Sus scrofa: one gene and its partner. The protein of the gene in region 1 interacts with the protein of each later gene in a biochemical or structural test. Links are inferred from orthologs where the notes say so. Each region holds a gene or a part of one and is shown in the gene's direction. Other genes may lie near its edges. The genes, in order: MB21D1 and RNF185.

Region 1 (4,241 bases):
TGGTGGTTACCAGAAGCCAGAGAGACCAGGGGGATGGGCTGTTATGGTGTAATGGGTAGTTTCGGTTTTGCAAGATGAAGAATTCTGAGATGGATGGTGGTGATGGTTTCACAACAATGTGAATGTATTTACTGTCACTGTAACATTTACACTTAGCAATGGGTAGGATGGTTAAAAAAAAAGAACCAAGGCATGCTAAGCCAGACAGTTCCTATTTAAGATGTATTTTTGTAAAGAAGTTGGTTTTAGAATTAGATGCTTGAAGCCTGTACTGAGATACTCTGAAATCATAACGGTGGAAGTAGTTTGGATTATTTAAAATATAAGTGCCATTTTTAGACAGGTTTTTGAGAACCAATGGATAAACCTCCCCTATAAAAACTTACAGTTAAGGAGTTCCCTGGTGGCCTAATGGATAAGGATTTGGCATAGTCACCGCTGTGGCTCAGGTTCCAGGGAATTTACACATGCCACAGGTGCAGTCAAATATTAAAAAAAAAAAAAAAACCAAAACATTTCTAAGGAGTTCCTCTTGTGGTACAGCAAGTTAGGAACCCAACATAGTCTTTGTAAGGATGCCGTTAGATCCCTGGCCTCACTCAGTGGGTTAAGGATCTAGTGTTGCTGCAAGCTGTGGGGTAGGATGCAGATGCTGCAGGGTCCAGCGTGGCTGTGGCGTAGGCCTGCAGCTGCAGCTCCAGCTCAGCCCCTAGCCTGGGACCTTCCATATGCCAAAGGTGCAGGCCAAAGACAAACACCGAAAAAAACCCAACTACAGTTTAAGATTGTTCATGCTTTTACTATATTTTATTATTTATTTATTTATTTTTGTCTTTTTAGGGCTGCACCCACAGCATATGGAAGTTCCCAGGCTAGGGGGTCCAATCTGAGCTACAGCTGCTGGCCTAGGCCACAGGATCCAAGCTGTGTATGTGACCTACACACCATAGCAACTGCTGGATCTTTAACCCACTAAGAGAGGCCAGGGATTGAACTCTCCTCCTCATGGATACTAGTCAGGATCGTTACCACTGTGCCACAATGGGAACTCCAAGACTATACATGCTTTTAAAAAGTCAAATAATTAGAACTATTCCAATTACAGTCAATTGACATCTCATTCCATTTGGTAAAAACTGAACAATTTCTATTTCCCACTAATTAAAGAAACCCTTTATTTAAACTTACATTGAAAAAGGTTCTCCGGCAATTTCAATGTGCGAGAAGGTCTAGAGTTTTCTAGAAAGCGTTTAGGTAACAGGCCAGCAAAGGCATCTCCCTTTCCAAGCTCCCAAAGCTGTTTTGTGCTTCGCTGGGTTAGGTTTTGCCTGGTCCCCGCCCAGGTACCGCACACCCCGAAGCTGAGAAAGCGGGCAAGGCGGGGAAGGGGCGTGGCCCCCTGAGCGCGGGCTTCCGCGCGCCCTTACCCTGCGAGCCCTACTGCTGCTTCCTTCCCGCTGAGTTTTTAAGTTTCATTTCCTGAGGTGTCTGCTGGTTCCTCCGGCCGTGGCTTTGCCAGAAGCCGGTCTCCCACTGGGTTGCAGAGAGCGCCAGCCATGGCGGCCCGGCGGGGAAAGTCCACGCGGACAGCTTCAGAGGTGGGAGCCGCTGGCCCCAGGGCCTCAGCGCGGAGTGTAAATGGCGCTCCAACGGTGCCCGAGGCCGCCCGGCCTGGCGCACGGAGGAACGGCCCCTCCAGGGCGTCGGGATGCCGACGGGAGAAGAGCGGCCCGGACCCCCGGGAGAAGCCGCAGGTACGCACGAGGACGGCCCGCGCCGAGGACCAGGCGGAGGGCCCATCGGCTCCCTCCGAAAGGGTAGAGCCTCCTTCGGCCCAGGGGGCTTCCCTTCTCAGGGCTGGATCTTGCCGCGCGAGAGAGGCGCGCTCGGCGCGGGAACTGAGACCCCAGGCCGGGGCCACAGAGCTCGCAGCCCCCGCGCGGATGGAGGCACCCCCCGGCGCCTGGAAGCTCCAGACGGTGCTGGAGAAGGTGAGGCTGAGCCGCCACGAAATCTCAGAAGCGGCGGAGGTGGTGAACTGGGTCGTGGAGCACCTGCTGCGGAGGCTGCAGGGCGGAGAGTCCGAGTTCAAAGGCGTTGCCCTGCTGCGCACCGGGAGCTACTATGAGCGAGTGAAGGTGAGTTTCCCTACACCCCTGCGGTCCGCCCCCCACCCCCAACACCCAACCTCCCAGGGGTACTGGGGAAGTAACTTAGATTTGTTCTTTTGTGGCTTGTGACGTATTTCTAATTAAAACGCTGTTTCGTAAATTGACACAACGTTGTAAACCAACAATTCTTTAATTAAAGTAAATTAAAAAACAAACCGCTGTTTTGTTTTGGCTTCCCATCTGGATTGTAAGCCTCCTTGTCACAGAATGTTTTAAGAAACTTTGAACACTGTACAGCTGCTCATTTTACTGATGTGGACTCAGTGATGTTTGTTTATTGTAGGAAGACCTTGTGTGTGTTGGTTTTTGGATCTTAAACTCTTTTAGCACTGACGATCACTCATATAATTCTTTATTTTATTTTTAAAAATTTTTTTATTACTCAAATGAATTTATCACATCTGTAGTTGTATAATGATCATAACAATCTGATTTCACAGGATTTCCATCCCACAGCCCAAGCACATCCCCCCCACCCCCCAAACTGTCTCCTCCGGAGACCGTAAGTTTTTCAATGTCTGTGAGTCAACATCTGTTCTGCAAAGAAGAACACTCATATAATTCTAAGGCATCTTGAAAACCAAGTGAACAAAACTTTCATTGGACTATCTGTATATCTTGAGCATATTACCTAAGTATCAATCAGTTCTATTGTATAAAGTGTCCAAACGAAAGAGAAAGTTACTAGTTAGAAATAGAGAACGCTCTTTTCTGGTTATCGCTGCGCCAGGCGTCATGAGCAGCAAAGTCTCTCAGGACACCCTCTACAAGGCGGTGCAGGAAGTCCTGCACGGAACCAGCACAAGCGCAGGAAGTTTTTGGAGATGGTGGAGCTTCAAATCAGCCTGAAGAACTATGACCCACAGACGCTTCTCGGGCACCTCAGGCCTAAGTCTACTCCCCGCCCCAAGTTCTCCGTTTGTATTCTGGGAGACCAGCAGCATTGTGATGAGGCCAAGGCTGTGGATATCCCACACATGGACATCGAGGCACTGAAGAAACTCAACAAGAATAAGAAACTGGTCAAGAAGCTGGCCAAGAAGTATGATGCCTTTTTGGCTTCAGAGTCTCTAATCAAGCAGATTCCATGAATCCTGGGCCCTGGCCTGAATAAGGCTGGCAAGTTCCCTTCCTTGCTGACCCACAATGAGAATATGGTGGCCAAAGTTGATGAAGTGAAGTCCACGATCAAGTTCCAGATGAAGAAGGTGCTGTGTCTCGAAGTGGCTATTGGCCACGTGAAGACGACAGATGATGAGCTTGTGTATAACATCCTTTTTGCTGTCAACTTCCTGGTGTCATTGCTCAAGAAAAATTGGCAGAACGTCTGAGCTTTGTACATTAAGAGCTCCAGGGGCAAATGCCAGCACCTGTACTAAGGATCAGCTCAATAAACCATTAAAAAAAAAAAAAAAAAAAAGAAAGAAATAGAGAAATGTCTCCAATTAGAAGCTTTTTTTTTTTTGGCGTTTTAGGGCTGCGCTTGTGGTGTATAGAAGTTCTTAGGCTAGGGGCCAAATCCAAGCTGCAGCAGCCGACCTATGCCACATTGACAGCAACTTGGGAGCTTCCAGCCTCCTCTGCGACCTACTTCACAGCTCTGGGCAACACCAGATGCTTAACCCACTGAGTGAGGTTAGGGATGGAACCCGCATCCTCATGGATTCAAGTTGAGTTTGTTACTGTTGAGCCACAATGCGAACCCCCAGAACCACTCTTCTTTTTAAAATCACATTGATGGCAAGAAAATGAAAGTTGTTTTATCTAAAATATGTATTGATTTTAAAGAACTGGTTATGAAAGGCCTACTTGTTCATTGTGGAGTCATTTCATTTGCCTGCCCTCCAGCAGGCTCCTTTAGCACAACAGAACCACCCCTTCTTACCTCCTTCCTCAGCATCTCCAGTCTTTGCCCTTGTTCCTTGTTGATGTCTCTGGATTTCAGAAAAGCACATAGAAGAATTATCCCTGTTTATTTTATTCACAGTTATTTTGTTGTATTTTCTTCTGCTCTGCATACACTTGTATTTCAAAATTGGATTCCAAACTTTATAATTGGTGAAAAAACAC
Region 2 (3,812 bases), on another chromosome or scaffold:
TTGTGAGCCTGAGGAGGCTGTGAATCCACTGAAACTGAGTCTGAAATAGCATGTATGCGTGAGCATGCCCCCATGAATTTTTCAGTACAGAGGATCCTTAGTTTTATGAATTCCTTCAGAGGCCATAACCCCTGAAAGATTGACTTGTAGAAAAGCTGGGTCTCAGATAGTCTGGGACTTTGTAGTCTTAACAAATAGTGGGACCCCAGGGTTGGAGACTAGGTCTTATCTACATTGCTTTGTTTTTCCTTTGACTATAGCTCAGTCTTTTCTAATTTCTGATACCAACAATCCCTACAGACCCTCACTGGGTTGCAATGCACCATAGTTCGATCCTCTTTTCCCATTTTTCTGCTCCTGCTGTACCCAGTGTTTCTGTTAATGGAATCATTTTTCTTCCTTTCCCCCTTTCTCTGTCTCCTTGATGCCTGGTTGCCCTCGGGACTCTGGCAGTTGGCCGTGTTTACATCAGGTAAGATGCATTTCATTTTACTTTGTCTTTCATCAGCAATGGTTGCACAAGACACCCCTAGTCTCAGGAGGCTGCTGTCAGAAGCTGCAATCTCCCCTGCTTGTGGGCTCATTTGCTTGCTTTCCTCCCACCTTCTATACACCTGTCCACTGACAGCACTTTAAACAAGGGGTCATTGTGGTACCCAAGAGGGATGCTCCTGCCTCTGTTGCTGATGGGATGGCCCTTGAGGCCTTGGCAGGCTGCACCTCTCTGGGTCTCACTTCCTCACTTGTAAATTGGGTTGGATATGATAGTATAGCTAGGTTTTTATTTTTGCGATTATGCCTTTATAGAAAGTACCTCCTATCATATCAACAATCACCCCACCCCCACTTTAGGATATTGAGAATATTAGGAAGGGGGAAAACTGTTTTGGTCTCAACAGAGAACTTTTATGGAGAGGAAAAGTCTGTTTTCCTAGCTTTTGATTATTATGAAAACCAGTTAGTAAGTCCTCTCCAAGACCGAGGCACCTGCTTGGTGGGACAGAGCAGGGCCTGCCATTGACAGCTGGCTGTGAATAATGGCCTGTGGCTGACTGTCTCCATGGTTGTTGGCAGTAGAACCCCACACTCATAGGTGGCTTGGAGGGGGGAGGACAAAAGTTCCTGACCACTAGAGCCTCAGCATCTGGAGGGGAGAAAGAAGCAGAAGAAGCCAAAGGGGTTTCCACTGCCTTTCACAGCTGTGCATCCTGACCCCATGGAACCTGGTAGAACACATCTGCTGTTAATGTATAAAGAACACATAATACTTAAGTTTTCAAACTTTTGGCAGTAGGATATAAAATCATTGAACGCTGCCTTCTCCTTGACCCTGAAGTCCTAGATTCACTTTTTTTTTTTTTTTGCCTTTTAGGGCTGCACCCACGGCATGTGGAAGTTCCCAGGCTGGGGGTCAAGTCAGAGCTACAGCTGCCGGCCTACGCCACAGCCACAGCAATGCAGGACCTGAGCTGTGTCTGGGACCTTCACCACAGTTCATAGCAACGCCAGATCCTTACCCACTGAGCAAGGCCAGGGATCAAATCCGCAGCCTCATGGTTCCTAGTCAGATTTGTTTCCACTGTGCCACGATGGGAACTCCTAGATTCACTTTTACATAATAAACTTCATATTTCTGGATTCACGTTCTAAGATGTATGTTGAGGGAAAAAATATGTGTAATTATTTAATGTCTACAAAGACACTACAGCTAATACATTTTTATCATTTTCATCTTGTTTTTAAGAAAATTAAGCAAAGGAGTTCCTGCTGTGGTGCAGCAGAATCGGCAGTGTCTCTGCAGTTAGTTCCAGGGCACAGGTTCGATCCCCAACCCAGCACAGTGGGTTAAAGGATCTGGTGGTGTTGCACTGTGGTGCAGGTTACAACTGCAGCTCGGATTTGATCCCTGGCCCTGGAAGTCCATATGCAGCGGGGTAGCCAAAAAAAAAAAAAGTTAAGCAAAATGATTTTAATACAACCAGTGAGAGAGCCTGGAAAACCCAGAACAGGATCCTGGTGTTACTAATTTTGAAAGAAATTGTTGAATGCAAAAATCAATGAAGGTACATTAAAAAACTAAGCAGGAGTTCCCTTCGTGGCACAGCGGAAACAAATCCAACTAGGAACCATGAGGTTGTGGGTTCGATCCCTGGCCTCGCTCAGTGAGTCAAGGATCCAGCGTTGGTGTGAGCTGCGGTGTAGGTCGCAGACGCAGCTCAGATTTTGGCGTGGCTGTGGCATAGGCCGGCAGCTACAGCTCTGATTGGACCCCCCAGCCTGGGAATGTCCATATGCCACCGGTGCAGCCCTAAAAAGACAAAAAACAAAAAAACACTAAGCAAACTTAGATAATAAGAAAAATCTATCTTTTAGCACTTAGGAAGTCACCAGAAAATGGTCAGCTTATATCCAAATGTTGATGTCTAAGATACAAAGTTGTTGAGGAGATGCTGCAAAGATGAGAAACACAAAGAGAAATCTGACTGCCAGAGTCATACAATTGGTTAAGAAAAGGTGGAAATTTAAAGTTTGTTATTTCCATACCCTCAGCCTAAGCTGAGGCTGGATCTGTCAGACCTCTTGACACAGCTCCAGCCTGCAGTTCTTTCCTGCTGTATTGCTGGGAACCCTTGAAGATAACAAAGCATCAGAAAGCCTGTTTCATTATGATGGCATTTAAAGGCAATTTTGATTTCACCTAGTAAATATTTATTGAGTGCCAGTAGCGGGAATCAGAAAGTTAGGTTCCTTGAGGTGTTCCCTGCTAGTGCTGGTGTTTCCAGTTTGAAGCCTCTGGTCTGCGTAGTTCTGCTGGTTCTGACTGATTGCTCTGGTGGGCTTGCACCATTCATGCAGTTTTCTCTCCTGCTTGCAGTGGTTGGAGACCAGACCTAACAGACAGGTGTGTCCAGTTTGCAAAGCTGGCATCAGCCGCGACAAGGTCATCCCGCTGTACGGCAGGGGCAGCACTGGGCAACAGGACCCCAGGTGAGGTCATGGAGCACCCCCCACACCCACTCCTCCCATGGGACACAAATTCACTTCCATTCAACAGCATCCCCTTACCCCACCCTTTACTTAGTGCTTATAGATCCTCAGTTTTGAGGCACTTAGGATCCAGATGGGAGTCAGCCAGTCCGGGAGGGGAGTCAGGTTGCCACGCTGGGCTGTGATACAGAGCTGCACTGAGTGTGTGCTGGCAGGTAGACAGGGTTCTAGGCAGTGCACAGGACATCACCATTGCAATTGTGCAGAGTGCTGTAGAGGAGCCTGGGAGGCAGTGTCCAGCAGGAGAGTCTGCAAGGAGGGGGTTTGCTGCAGCAGTGATATATAAAGTTGAGGGGGTAGGGGCAGTGAGGGGAGAGATAGGGGTCTGGGAGGCTCTGAGATTTCTGGAAATGGAGGTTTAGTGGTCTGGCACTCTACAAACACAAGTACTGAGAGCCTTCTTAGTGTGGTTCATGACATGTGTGCATATACACACAACCCAAACTCTGACAGCATCTCTTACCTTCTTCCACCTTGCTCCAGCGTACCTGTACCCAGACGTATTGGACTTTTCTTAAAGTGACTTGCCCTTTTACCTTTTACCTTTGTATTTACTATCACTCTGCTTCTTCTGTCCTCCCCAGTCCTGCTCAACTCCCTCTCCTCCTCTAACTTCTACAATCTTTAAATGAGCAGCCCTAAAGTTACCTCCTCCTTGAAGTGGCCTTTCTTTCCCACATTAGTTGCTTTCACCCATGCCTCTGTTCCATTTCGTTGACACCTCTATTACAGAAGTCCCTTCCCACCATGTGTTGTGCTTGGTT

Evidence for each region.
Region 2: of the proteins of MB21D1 (region 1) and RNF185, one has a biochemical effect on the other in vitro, tested with the Homo sapiens proteins (2 studies listed by BioGRID). The link is inferred for Sus scrofa from reciprocal best matches to the Homo sapiens genes CGAS and RNF185.

The regions. Positions count from the first base shown.
Region 1 is NC_010443.5:92,481,874-92,486,114, forward strand, and holds the start of MB21D1 (cyclic GMP-AMP synthase), read left to right. Parts: upstream 1-1,379; 5' UTR 1,380-1,556; coding exon 1,557-2,138; intron 2,139-2,891; exon of another isoform or gene 2,892-3,565; intron 3,566-4,241. UniProt on the Homo sapiens protein: Nucleotidyltransferase that catalyzes the formation of cyclic GMP-AMP (2',3'-cGAMP) from ATP and GTP and plays a key role in innate immunity.
Region 2 is NC_010456.5:47,966,602-47,970,413, forward strand, and holds part of RNF185 (E3 ubiquitin-protein ligase RNF185), read left to right. Parts: intron 1-453; coding exon 454-472; intron 473-2,875; coding exon 2,876-2,988; intron 2,989-3,812. UniProt on the Homo sapiens protein: E3 ubiquitin-protein ligase that regulates selective mitochondrial autophagy by mediating 'Lys-63'-linked polyubiquitination of BNIP1.